3 linked regions of the Rattus norvegicus genome follow. The main gene of each other region encodes a partner of the protein of the gene in region 3 in a complex. Links are inferred from orthologs where the notes say so. Each region holds a gene or a part of one and is shown on either strand. Other genes may lie near its edges.

What was found. The genes of interacting proteins can lie anywhere in the genome.
Region 1: the proteins of Cckbr (region 3) and Gnai2 are in contact, whole or in part, in a cryo-EM structure (PDB 7F8V), measured with the Homo sapiens proteins. The link is inferred for Rattus norvegicus from reciprocal best matches to the Homo sapiens genes CCKBR and GNAI2. Residues at the interface, in NP_795344.1 of Homo sapiens: Thr87, Thr89, Arg152, Ala155, Ile156, Pro159, Leu160, Ala162, Arg163, Val164, Thr167, Ser169, Ile241, Gly248, Leu249, Lys328, Val331, Leu335, His394, Arg396; in NP_002061.1 of Homo sapiens: Glu28, Ala31, Arg32, Glu33, Val34, Lys193, Leu195, Thr220, Phe337, Thr341, Asp342, Ile344, Ile345, Asn348, Leu349, Lys350, Asp351, Cys352, Gly353, Leu354, Phe355.
Region 2: the proteins of Cckbr (region 3) and Gast are in contact, whole or in part, in a cryo-EM structure (PDB 7XOW), measured with the Homo sapiens proteins. The link is inferred for Rattus norvegicus from reciprocal best matches to the Homo sapiens genes CCKBR and GAST. Residues at the interface, in NP_795344.1 of Homo sapiens: Cys107, Pro114, Asn115, Gly118, Thr119, Phe120, Met134, Gly135, Val138, Tyr189, Gln204, Cys205, His207, Leu222, Val349, Tyr350, Ala352, Asn353, Arg356, Pro361, Ala363, His364, Leu367, Ser368, Ile372, His376, Tyr380; in NP_000796.1 of Homo sapiens: Glu85, Ala86, Tyr87, Gly88, Trp89, Met90, Asp91, Phe92.

What each region holds. Positions count from the first base shown.
Region 1 is NC_086026.1:117,184,528-117,188,813, forward strand, and holds the start of Gnai2 (guanine nucleotide-binding protein G(i) subunit alpha-2), read right to left. Parts: upstream 3,096-4,286; 5' UTR 2,944-3,095; coding exon 2,826-2,943; intron 1-2,825. UniProt on the Homo sapiens protein: Guanine nucleotide-binding proteins (G proteins) are involved as modulators or transducers in various transmembrane signaling systems.
Region 2 is NC_086028.1:85,763,845-85,768,310, forward strand, and holds Gast (gastrin precursor), read left to right. Parts: upstream 1-1,371; 5' UTR 1,372-1,411; intron 1,412-1,563; exon of another isoform or gene 1,564-3,519; 5' UTR 3,520-3,524; coding exon 3,525-3,735; intron 3,736-3,846; coding exon 3,847-3,950; 3' UTR 3,951-4,036; downstream 4,037-4,466. UniProt on the Homo sapiens protein: Gastrin stimulates the stomach mucosa to produce and secrete hydrochloric acid and the pancreas to secrete its digestive enzymes. It also stimulates smooth muscle contraction and increases blood circulation and water secretion in the stomach and intestine.
Region 3 is NC_086019.1:169,182,272-169,186,671, reverse strand, and holds the start of Cckbr (gastrin/cholecystokinin type B receptor), read right to left. Parts: upstream 3,095-4,400; 5' UTR 3,060-3,094; coding exon 2,909-3,059; intron 2,700-2,908; exon of another isoform or gene 2,494-2,699; intron 2,387-2,493; exon of another isoform or gene 781-2,386; intron 1-780. UniProt on the Homo sapiens protein: Receptor for gastrin and cholecystokinin. The CCK-B receptors occur throughout the central nervous system where they modulate anxiety, analgesia, arousal, and neuroleptic activity.

The DNA.
Region 1 (4,286 bases), on a different chromosome or scaffold from region 3:
CATCCTCCATTCAGCACACAACGAAAAGGACACCGCTCTGACTTGTTGCCTCAAGGGCCAAAACCATGCTCTAGTGGGAAATTGGGAACCCAGGGAGCAAAGAGGCCACATTAGCCTTGGTGGGACCTCAGGAAGGGTTCTGGGAGGAGATCCGTCAATGGAATGTTAAGGAACAATTAAGTACGGAAAATACAAAGTCTTACAGCAAGACAAATGCAGCATCTACACTCTTGAGACTTCGTGGAGCCCACAATGGACACGGTTTCTCCTGGTGTGTCCAGTTCAGGTTGTCACCAGAGCCCCCAAAATCTATCTGGGCTTAGCTAGTCGGTCTGCTTGAACTGGGTGGGGGATTCCCTAGGGGGCGGACCTGCAGTCAGACTGCTATCAGCTTCTCTAGTTGTCCGGCCAAGCTGCCAGGGGAAACTAGCTTGCCAGTGTGTACCACATCTGCCTCAGCCCTGGTGACAGTGACTGTGCCCGCCTTCTGGCAGGGATGCAGGGTATGGAGGGAGACAGTGTGCGGGTGGGGCAGCAGGCGTGGTTCTGGCTGGGAGGGAAGATTGGCACTTTTCCAGCTTAAGTCCCCGTTGCCTGGACAGAGTCTCTGGCTATGTAGATCTGGTGCTCAGAATTTCTAAACTGCTACAGCTAGGGTCTCAGTGTCACCTTACTCCTTCATGGGAAGTTGATTAATTCAAGTCAAGACCCCTTCCCAGGTAGCAATGACAGACTGGTCATGCAGACTGGGTTGTCCACTTCAGGCGGAGCTCCCTGGCTGCACACCTTTTGCAGGGTCTTAGTCTCGCCATGGGTACTCCTGTGACACAAGCTAGGAATTTCATTTTAGACGAAGGAAAGGCCAGAGGGACAGGATCTTGGGATAGGCTGATCCGTGAGAAAGTGCTAAGTAAGAAGGAATACCCGGTCCCACACAGCCTGGCCCAAAAGCTGAGCAGAGCTCTAAGGGACAAGCCTGTCAGCATAGAGGAAAAACAGGCCAGGAGTCCTGTGCAACCCCCTTCCCCCTGCTCTCTGGTCCAGATCCACATCTCTTTGGCCACCACAGTAACTGCAGTAAACCTGGGAGGGGCTGGTAAGGGGCTCCCGGCTGGGCACCGGGACGTAGCGATCCCGGAAGTGCCCTCCCTAGGCCCAGCAGTAACGGACATTCCGCCGCCGCGTCGACACCCACTCACTGCTTGCCGCACTCGCAGCAGAGACAGGAAGAGGCAAGCGCCCAACGCAAAGCAGCCCAGGAGGCTGGGCCGCCGCCCCTTCCCGCCCCTTCTCTTCCTCCCCGCGGCAGCAGTGGAGCGGATGCCATTTTGAAACCTCCGGGGCTGTGCCCCCAGGCCGGGTCCGCCGGGACAGTCAACAGATGGATCCATAAAGACATACATGTTGTTTCTCGGCCACAGGCCTGGCAAAAAAGCCAGGCTTTTCACAACATGCAGGCCCCAAGGCGGCCCTGGGGCTGAGGGGCCACACCCCCCCACATACTATCCAGCCGATTACGCTGCTGCGCGGCTTCTGCTACCGCTAGGGCCTTCCTCTCCACAATCCAGAGGACCCAATCTTCTCAAGTCAGGCCCCCATAGGGAACCACTCTAACTACCAGTGGGAGTCTGGACACAGCATCAGGCCCACTGCCTTTGCCAAAGCCTAACTGGGATGCTTGAGAGCACACGGGGCTACAGGCAGCTGACTCCTACTAGCCCCTCATTCAGCCTGCCCACCACTCTCCATCACAGTATTCCTTTAGGGAACCAACAGGTCCACTCAGTATCCTAGGCCATATCTCAGGCGTTTCAGCCCCGAGTATGAGAACCCCAGCACCCGTCAGCAGATCTCTACAGGCATAGAGGGCAGCAATATGTCGGTTGGCTCACTACTTCCACTTCCCCCCCATCCCAGCAGCCACCATCTTCCTTGGCCTTGGAAGTGGCTACAACCCTAACTCCTCCATGTTCCCTCCTCTTGCCCAGACTCCCCTGGCCCTGGCCCAGACAAGCCTTGGGACCTAGGGAACACATTCCCAAAGAACGGAACTTCCCACAGATGCTTGAGGCCTGGCCCCGTTCCCCCAGTGTGACTATTAAGAGCTTCGGTCCAACCTCTTGGAAAGGGTCTGCCCAGCTCAGTCTAGGCCCACTCCAGCCCCCCGGTTCCCCTCCTATCAAGGTCCACCTGGAGCAAGAGGGTGCAGATCAAGGGAATGCCAGAGTGTGAGAAAAGACTTAAAAGAGGGCCAGATGATACCTGCAGAGAGAGATATCTGGTGACCTGGAACAGAGGCCCTGAGGGGAATCCTGCTACAGAGAACTTGAGAGTGGTCAGTTTCCCTCTTCAAGAGGTTCTTAAGGGGTCAGAGTGCACAGAGGGAGAATACAGATTCCAGAGTGAGGAAAAGAGGGAGTGGGTTGAGGCTTGACAGGGGTCCCAAGGAATGCTCATGCCAATAGAAACAGAACAGGTAGGGCTTGAAGATGGGAACCTGTAGGGTACTGAGGGTTTAAGTAAAGCCTAAGAAAGTGGGGAATTAAAAGGCAGGGGTTAAGTTCTCTTGAGACTGGATAGTAAGGGTGGGGGGGGATAGCCATGCAAGGTTTGGTGTCTGGGATCTGGGATGAGTTGAGGGTCTGAACTAGAGTCTGGACTAGGATTATAAATCTAGACCAATCCGGAGTTTCGAATCTTAAAAGGGTGGGTCCTAGGGGTTTCAAGCGCAGGTGTAGGGTCCAAGGCTAGGCTGAGTAGTTTCAGGTCCTTCTCTGGGGATTAGCGTTGAGAGTCAAGGGTCCCAGAACGGGGCGCTGCCTCACCTAACAGAAGCAACTTCACCTCCCGTGCCGCCTTCTCGCCGTCCTCCCGCAGGTTCTTGTCGATCATCTTAGAGCGCTCGGCTGCCGCCTTGTCCTCGGCGCTCACGGTGCAGCCCATCCTGCCGTCCGCCGGCCCGGCCTGGCCCCCACACGGCCCACGGCCCGGCTCGGCCCCGCCCGACCCACTCCGCTCCCACCGCCGGCCCTCTGCGGGAAGCTCTCAGGTCCGCAGTTCCGAGCGACTGCGGGAGGCGCCTTCCCGGCCGCCGCGCACCGACGGCGGGGCGGGCCAGGGGTGGGGCCCGGGCGAACCAAGCTCGCGACTGGGCCGGGGCGGGTCTGGAGGAGGGGCCAAAAGAAATTTGGGACTGGTGATTGGTTGGAGGGCGGAGCCAAGGGAGAAGTTAAGCTCAGTCTAGGCTTGGGCTGAGAGCGGGGCCGCAACGAGGGAAGACACCAGGGGTAGAGCTAACACAGGCTTAGGCCTCTGGGCGGGCTGCAGGAGGAGCTCGTCTCCGATTGGACGCTGAGAGCCTGGGGCTCTGTTTCTGGACTGAAGGACCAGTTGATCTAGTAGCCCAAGGGTCAGGAATACCTGCCCTCGCCACAGGCCGAATAGAAACCAGGACTCTCTCAGCATTTATGAATTATGAGAGTAAGATGGAGGAGGTGTGTCTTCTTCACTTGCTTTTTAAAAGTGAACCAATCTTATTTAAAGATCTCCTAAACTCCGCGGAGGGCACAAGATGTCTTTCTGGACCTCGGTTTTCTTTAAGGCAGCTTCTTTCCCCATTCCTGTCTAGGTTGAACAACGTCAAAAACAAAAACCAGTTCACTGCCGCTTTTACACCTTTAAGTGGACTATCTTTTGTCATCTAAACTTAGTTCTTTTGCCCGATAGGTTGGGAAGCATCGTCCTGCAAGCAGTGGTCGGGGGCTTCACCCAAAGACCAGTGAAACTGGACTCTAGCGGGAGAGATAGACGGAAGAGAAATTGCCATTGGACTTAGGGAAACAAACGATGCATGATTTATAAATCTGTTCCTTCCATCCTCGGTCAGCTTCTAGAGGCTTCTTCAGTCCAGTGTCTCTTCTGAATAGTGGCTGTAATCCTGAGGTTGGGCGAAGGTAGAAGTGGAGATGCTTCAAATTGTGATCTGCTTTTTAACAGGGGCCTGTGACCTACCTCCCGCCCCCCAACTTCGATTGGACGATTGAAGTGTTTTCCAAGCATTACCCAGTAAGGTGTTCTGAGCGGCCCCAGACTAAAGGCAGACAGGGACATTGCCATCAAGAGTTGGTCATAGCCTCCTGTTAATACAGCACTCCCTGGATGAAGAGAATGTTCCAGTTTCTACCCTTCAACTTGCTTGCTCACTCTGGAGTGTCTGTGTGTCTCAATCATCAGAATGTCTGTCTTCCCTGTTGAGGAGTCATTAGCCTGCGCTCATCCAGTGGTTC
Region 2 (4,466 bases), on a different chromosome or scaffold from region 3:
GTTTTGTCTTTTTTTTTTTTCTCCTCCCTTTTCTTTTCTTATTTCCATCTGCTGAGTCACCGTGTCCTGCTCTGGATTAGAGCGGTTACTCACTAGAACATTTGGGTGCCGGTTGCCATGGTCACAGTGCAGCCTGCATCCTTCATCACCTGTTAATTATCAACAAGGCTGGCTGCGAGCGTGGGTACCACTGCCCTCAAACCAAGACCCAAGGGACATCGAAGCTCCTTGAGACAGGAAAGGGGGGCCCAATGACGCATGAATGAGAGCAAATGCCTCATCTCAGTTATTAAAAAAATAAATTAAGGGGCTGGGGATTTAGCTCAGTAGTAGAGCGCTTACCTAGGAAGCGCAAGGCCCTGGGTTCGGTCCCCAGCTCCGAAAAAAAGAACAAAAAAAATAAATAAATAAAAATAAAAATAAATTAAAAAATGGCCCAGAGATTGTTATAACCTTGCCTGAATGTGGTATTCAGAAAGGAGTTTATCAAATAAACCAAGAGAAGTATCATTTTTCTATCGTGGTACATCTTTGAAAAATGCCTTTGTTCAATAACCATTTTAAGACGCAATTCTTTTTTGGTTGAGAAGTTATGAATTCTTAATGCAAATCGCAATCTACCCCTGAAAACCAAATGGAAGAGTCTTGAGACGCAAGGCCCTCAAGGAACGGGCTCCGGGTAGGGGGCTGACAAGCGGTTTCATTAGGCCGCAAACCCAGCAGGAGGGTACAAGAGTGTTGGGCAGATCCAGCCCAACGTAGAGGACATAGACAGGAGATGCTGAGGGTTTTCCATGGTAACAGGAGCATTAACAGGTTCCAAAGCAACCAACATGACGCTCTCAACAGAAAGAGCGAGCCCATCAGCCCATGGCCCATTGCTCCTGATAACTACAACATATCCTGTTTGCAAAGCCCAATGGAGGGGACAGGGATCAATAAATCACCCTACATTTGCACACTGCCTGCCCTTCAGACATCAACATACGGGCACCTCTGAATCTTAGGTCATTTGGTTCCCATTCGTTCTTCCTCTTGGCTCTCCTCTCCACCCCTCCCCAGGGGAGACAGTCCAATAGAAGACTAGGAAGCCTGTGGCCCAAGGGATACAGTAGAATGAGCTGCTCTGGAACCAAGGGAGTCTGTCTCCTGTCTGCCCCCCTCCCTGTTCCAGCCCTTCCCTTTCCCCGAATCCTGAATGGATAACTAATTGATTGACAGCTCTGTGACAGGGTGACAGATTGGACCTATGCTCCACACCCATTTCTCTCGCTGTGGGGAGTCTGGCCTCACCTGGAAGGAGGGTTTGGGAGGAACCTAGAGGGCTATATAAGGAGGCCTGGAGCAGCATGCAGAGCAGAGCAGAGCTGACCTACTGCCACAACAGCTAACCGTTCCCCCAGCTCTGCAGGTGAGAAACTGGGAAGGGAGGAGAAGGGCATGGAAGGGCATGGAGGGGCATGGAAGGGAAAGGAAGGGAAGGGAAGGGAAGGGAAGGGAAGGGAAGGGAAGGGGAGGGAAGGGGAGGGAAGGGAAGGGGACAATAGGGATTAGAATTGACAAGCCCAGGGCTGGGGATTTAGCTCAGTGGTAGAGCCCTTACCTAGGAAGCGCAAGGCTCTGGGTTCGGTCCCCAGCTCCGAAAAAAAAGAACCAAAAAAAAAAAAAAAAAAAAAAGAATTGACAAGCCCCCTTCCTATAAAGGCTCCAGGCCACGGTGTCTCCAAAGATGGGGCCCTTTGCTTAGCCTAGAATGGAATTGAGTCTCAGCTCTAAGGCCACACTGTTGTCCTTGATTCCCACTCAGGACCACTTCACTCAGGACCCAGTCATGATCCTGGGGTTCCTGCCAGTCAGGGAGGTGAGCAAGCGAGGGCTTTTCCCCCATTGCTAAGATGAGAAAACCACGGTCCAGAGGCTAGGAATTACTAGACTTTAGTAGGCAGTGCTAAGGCTGCAGCCCACAGCTCTGGATCCCATCTCAAGCCCTTTCCTAGGCCAGGGCTATCTAAAGGAACATCCTGTGATAACGAGAATGCTTTAAATCCATACTTTCCTACATGGCAGCCACTAGCCACATGGGTACTTACCACCCAGCTAATTCAAAGGTAGAAAAATTGAATAGCAATTCATCCAAATGTAAGGAGCCACAAATAGCTAGTGACTGCCATATTTATCAAGCTGTATGGCTCGTATTGGACAGAATGACTCTCTCTAGCATTGTTTCCCCTATTCTTTTCAGTCATCCTTCTTGGTAGGGTATCGCTCTAGCCCAGACTGGCCTAGCACCCACAGAGTCTTAAACATAAGGCACTCCTGCCTCAGCCTCCCAAGTACTGAGATAGAAGCAGGAGCCAGCATATCCAGCTACGATTTTTCAACATTTCTTTATTAGCCACAAATGTTTCTCTCCCACAGAAAATCTAGTCTGAAAATTTTGTCATAAAAAGCTAATGTTTTAAAGGGTTTTTCTGTTTGTTTGTTTTCGTTTTTGTTTTTGTTTTTCAAGACAGGGTTTTTCTAGTACCACCCTGCCTGCCCTGGAACTAGCTCTGTAGACCAGGCTGGCCTCGAACTCAGAGATCCATCTGCCTCTGCCTCCTGAGTGCTGGAATTAAAAGCATGTGCCACCACGCCCAGCTTCTAATATATTTTAATACACATTTTTCTTATGGGGGAAAGTTTTTTTAAAAAAAAAGGAGCAAAAGCAAAAACAAAACAGAAAACATCAAGTCCAAAGAACAGGTAAGGTTTGGAACTTGATGTTTGCTTGGGCATTCCACTTTAGGTCCGTGCTGTAGTTTCTCCAGACTCCATTCACCCTCCTGCTTAGCTGCAAAAGCTGGGGTTAATTTTTTTTTTTCCTTAGCTGCATAAGTGCAGTTGCAGGCTGCTCAGCAGCTAAACACAGTGGAGCCTCTCCTCCAAGGTTGCCTAGCAACCATGTGGCCCAGCCCCCGATGGACATGCTGATGGTCTCCAAGTGACAGTGTATGATCTATAACACCCTTTAGTGTGCGTGCATCTTTGTCGTTGTATTTTAAATTTCCCTTTAAGCTCTAAGAGTCACCTAAGAGTCACTGGACCTAGCCTCATCTGGCGGAGCAGTCTGGAAAAACACTGTTCTATGGCTATTGTTTTTTGCATTTGAAATCGTGTGTGTGTGCATATGCATGTGTGCTGTGTGCTTGTGTGTGTGTGTGTGTGTGTGTGTGACACATTTGGGTGGCAATGCCAGTGCCCATATGGACATCAGAGGAAGTCTGTTGCTCTATACCTTATTCCATTGAGACCAGATCCCTCTCCCTCTCCCTCTCCCTCTCCCTCTCCCTCTCCCTCTCCCTCTCCCTCTCCCTCTCCCTCTCCCTCTCCCTCTCTCTCTCTCTCTCTCTCTCTCTCTCTCTCTCTCTCTCTCTCTCTTTGTGTAGCCAGGCAGCTTAGAGCCCATCCGGTCTAGCCCTTTACCTCTGGGACTGTGGAATAGCCCCATCTTGAAACCCAGCTCTTTTCCCTTCTCAGACAAGATGCCTCGACTGTGTGTGTGCATGCTAGTCTTAGTGCTGGCTCTAGCTACCTTCTCGGAAGCTTCTTGGAAACCTCGCTCCCAGCTACAGGATGCATCCTCTGGACCAAGGACCAATGGGGCCCTGGAACAGCACCAGCTAGAAAAGCTGGGCCCAGCCTCTCACCATCGGAGACAGCTGGGGCCCCAAGGTCCGCAACACTTCATAGCAGGTAGTAACTGCTGACCCAGGCAGATTTGGCCATGGTTCCCCCATACTGATCCCACAGTTCCTTGAGACTTGGCCTTCTTCTCTCCATTCTTACCTCCTGTCACCTCCTTAGATCTGTCCAAGAAACAGAGGCCACCAATGGAGGAAGAAGAGGAAGCATACGGATGGATGGACTTTGGTCGCCGTAGCGCTGAGGAAGAAGACCAGTATAACTAGCAATGCTCTTCCAGAGCCCAGCCATCTCCAGCCACCCCCAGCTCAGTCCTTACAAAACATATTAAAAATAAACTAGCTTGCAATGTATCCCTGAGTCCTGTCGTGTACTTGACTGGAGAGGGGTTGAGGCAGGAAGGAGAGCTGAGTACACCTTAGAGGCAGACCAAAGAGTAGCACTGATCAAGAATCTACCTGGGTTCGGGTTATGGTTAGAGGTTAAGCAGTTAAGCTTTTACAGCTCTTTCAGAGAATTCTGATTCAGTATCCAGGTCACATATAGCTGGCTTACAGCTGCCTATAAGTCCAGTTCCAGGGAATCCAACCCTCTTCTCACTTCCTTGGATGCACCTAGACACATAGAACCTAATTTAATCACACACACACACACACACACACACACACACACACACACACACACACACAATGTGTGACTCTAGGAAGGTTTAAACCTTCCAAGGCTGTCCATTCCATTTATAATGAAGCCATGACTCCATTCTAAAGCCCTGTGCTAGCCGA
Region 3 (4,400 bases):
ACATCTTGCTTCTTCAAGGTCCCTTGCTCTACTGGCTGCCCTCCTTTGCATCAGAACCATTAACATCTCTCTCGATCCTTCTCTACTTGCAAACACCCACGGTGTAGCATCTCTAGTCCTTGCTACTCTAGGAGCTAATACAAAAAAAATTTTTTTGAACCCATCACTTTGAGATCCTGTTTAAAAAAAAAAGAAAAGAAAAAGAAAAGAAAGAAAAAGAAATGCTCTGCTACATTCCAACCTTTCCTCAAACCCATACATTTTCTACCACTGATCTATTTTTCTTTCTCCCTGATGCCCCCACTCCTTGGACATTTTGCTAACTACTCTTGTTCACTTCTTGCAACCCCTTCTCCATGGCCCAGTCCTCCTCCTTCTGAGTCAGGTCTTGGTATCACATCACCCTCTCTGTAGTTATTGTGTATGAACAACCCCGGTGTGGATATTTTGTTCATCTCTGATTCATCATAGCAATAATTAGTATCCCTTACCTGACCTCAGCTAAGACTCTTCTCTCACTTTCTGCAAAGACACGGCTACTGTTTCTATTTCACTTACATCTCCTCCTGGACCTTCTTTCCTCTGCCTTGCTTTTAAATGCCAGCCTTCTGTAGGGTCCTGGCTCAGCTTCCCTGCTCTCATTTTATACAATATTTTTTAAAAGTATTTTGCCAATTCCTATGGTTTCTGGTTCTCCCCCCCAAAGGTGAAGACTTGCCAAGTCTATGTTTCCAGCTCAGATCTCCAAGGTAAGTTCCAGATCTCAGGATTCAACAGCTTTGGTGAGTAACCATCAATTTTTGAACTCTATGGGCTCCAAATTGAGTTTATAATAATTCCCTCTTTCAAAACTGTTTCTGCTCCTTCGTTATTAGGAGCTGAATGTAGGGCCTTGCCGTTGCAAGCAGGTGCTGTAATATGAAATGCACGTCTAGTCCCCCTCCTTGGTTGTCTCTCTATGATATGCCATCCACATCCTTTCAGTTGCCTAAACCAGAAACTGGATCTCATCCCTTGACTTCATCCACCCTCTCTATTTCTAATCAATGTTTAGGTTCTGTTGACTCCGTTTCCAGAAGTCGCTCTTGGGTCCGTCCACTTCTTTGCATCCTCACTGCCAGCCTCTCCATCTGTGCTAGCATCATCTTCCAGCCAGATTTGTGTAATGCAATAGCTTTCTAAAGTATCTTTCTGCATTCTATCTGAATCTCAACACCATGCAATCAATCCTGGCAGCACTATTTAGTGGATCCCAATGCCTCAGGAGGAAATCTACACATTATAGCAAGAGCTATAAAGCTCCCCAAGCACACTCTAGGTTGGTTTACACTGTTATTAGGAACCTTCAAGGGTACATGTTCCAGCATACAAAAACTGTGTTATACTGAACAGACATGCTATAGCCTTAAACTTTGAGCTTTTGAGACAGGATATCTTTCTCTAAGACATTTTATGCCTCTTCTGCTCTGTCACTTGGTTCTCTGTCATATTTCCCTACTTGATCACATCCATACCCCAGGAAACCCGTCTTAATCCCCAAGGGCAGAGTAGGCTGGAGATGTCCCTTTTATATATCCACAATGCTTCTTCTCTTTGTGCTACCATTCCTGGCTTACTGTCTGTTTCCCCTATAAACTCAGAGCTCCATGAAGTAGGGTTTTCGTCAGTTTTGTTAAATGCGTATCCTTGTTGCCTAGCAGTTTCTGGTCCAATAAATCTTTCCTGAGTGAAAGAGTAAGTGACAGTGGGTAAAAGCCAAACTGAGAAAGCATGAATTGTTTCATGGGCTGAGTAAATACGTAGGGTATAATTTAACAATGTTTACTTCTTGAACATAGAATCCAACTCCTTCCTTTTCCATTTACTGAACCCGAGCTCCCAGGTTCCACCCTCAGTGAAGTTACTAGACTCCCCAATTCCTTTGTGTGTCCATATTCCAATCAGACCCTCTGTGGGATTTCTAGGCAGTGATTTTCTCTGTCCCTGTGTACTTGGCTGCAGACTGCTGAGACTGCAGACTGTGTCTAGTTCGTTCAGTGTTCCCAGCACTAAGCCTAGTAAATGTTCATTAAACATTGCAAACAAATATGGGGATGGAAAGGGAACATGCATTTTAAGATGTTCATTGAAGCAATGAAGATGCTACTGATGGGAGGAATGAGTCATTTGCAGCCGGGATGAGGGAAAGCAGTAGGAAGGGAAGGTGACACAAAGGAATGGGGTGACTGTTGCCAGGGGAAGTTGGCTCTAGGCAAGTGAGAAAAGGGATACTTGGGGCGCTGTGGAAGGGACTCAGAGACCTTCAGAGTGACAGAGAAGACATGCAGATGGGTGGAGGACTTGACCCTGGGAACAGAAGAGTTTGGGGACAAATGGAACAAGAAAGGTAGCATTCCCTTGTGCTGGTTAAATTCAGATCTGAATGTAGCCCTCTTTTCTTGGGAAAGGTTGGGGTGGGGTGGGAGACTATTACAACTCTTATCTCCCATTCAGGCAGTCCAGAGAGCTTATGCCCTCACCGGCCCAGCCCTCCTTTGCCCTTCATTCAGAGGTTCCTGTCGCTCTCTCTCCTTGGTACTGGCTCTGTGAACTGGATGTTAAAGGAAAAGAAAGCTAGACCTGCTGACAAGAAGAGGTCCTTGTTTCCCGGCTGTGTGATGCTGAGCTCGGGGATGATCTGAGTAGCTATGGCAGAGCAAGTATGAAGTCGGGGGTTTTGAACCATGATGGGAAGGTGTTGGAGTTATGAGAGCTTGGGAGCGCAGTGTGTGAAGGGGGGGGGGGGGTCTCTGTGTGAGTCGCGGAAGTCCTACAAAGGAAAACTATGGGCAGCTGACAGAATAGAGGTCAGAAGGGTTCTTGAATAATGCTGTGGGGTTCAGTGAGAAGGGCTTAGGGAGGCACCCACCTCTGGTCCCGGTTCCGCGGATACGAGGGGGTTCACAGCTGAGGTTCCCGGCACTACTGCTGTTGAGAAGGGAGACACCCGGGCGGCACAAAGAAGACCCCGACCCGGGTCCTGGTCCCTGCACGCTGCGGTTCAGCTTGAGCAGCTCCATGGCTCCAGTGAAGTCCCACTTAGCTCTGCTAAGCGAGCTCTAGCACCGGTTCCACCTGCTCCCGCGGCGCTGGTGGCTCAGGCTCCCGCCCACCACATCGCCCGCCCCTCCTAGTTTCCGCCCCCTGCCCTGGCCCCAACTCCTCCACTCCCCCACCAGCCTCCCCTTAACCTCAGCCGGTTCCAGGCTCTAGGCGGCTTTTTGTCCCACCAGGTGACTCTCGGCGCGCCTCCTCGGCTCCAGAGTTCAGCGCGCGCTCCTGAGTGACTGCTCTCCAGGCTCGCCCCCGCGCTAGTTTCTCCCTTCTTCTCTTAAAGATGCCTTTTCTGCCCACCTCTTATACCAATGCCCCTAGTTCTGGAAGAGTGTGTGTGTGTGTGTGTGTGTGTGTGTGTGTGTGTGTGTGTGTGTGTGTGTGTGTGTTTACACGTGCGCCTGCCGGAGGGATGGGGTGATGGGAGAGTGAGTAGCTACTGTGGAGTCCAGCATCTTTCTTTGGTGGTTTAGATGACGTGGTGATGGCGGTGGTGATCCGGTTTTGCGTACCAGGCTCCCCTGCTACAGAGCAGGTGCCTTAGTACGTTTGGAGCCGCAGTTACGGAGTTCTGCCGCAGTGGCCGCAGTGATCGCCACAGTGTCAGCTACCTTAGCTCTTTGGTGAGGATTAGCTTCTGCCTTGGCATATCCCACCTCCTATCTGAAACTCCAAACCTAGGCTTCTTCTTCAAAGACTCTAAAGAGGGTCCTGGAGGGTCGCAAAGAAGACAAGGAAAAGGGTTGGAGTGAACTAGGGCGACCGGGAATTGAAGTGAGAACTGCTCTAAATGAACTGAGTTGAGGTGTGGTACGGGTTCTGGTATGGGTTCTAGTTCTCGCCCTGACCAGGGTGAAAGATAGGGAGCAGGCAGCGTCCCTCGTCTTTAGGCAGCGTCCACCCACACCTAAAACGACGATGCTCCATTTGCTGTCAGCATAGGTGCAGCACCGGGGTAGGGTGTTGGGTTCCCATGAGAGGGGGCCAAGGGAGGACTGGGTCACTGGGTTGTGGCAGGAGAGAGCAGGGAACAAAGTCGAAGGCGCCTCTGGTGTGCAAGAAGGCTCAAGTGGACTCTGCTTCCTTAGGCAGGACTGGCCTCCTTTTCTTTTTCAGCCTTGTTTCTACCAGTCTCCTCCATTCCAAAGAAATTCTGGTGCAATGTGAAATATCTTTTGAGATCCCAAAGTGGCTATCAGAGGTTGGGTGGAGAGGGATACGAGGAAGAGAGAATTAGAGTTGGGGGTGGGGGTGGGGGAGTCTGGATATATGGGGAATTCAGAATCAGTATCCTGACTGTTTTGAAA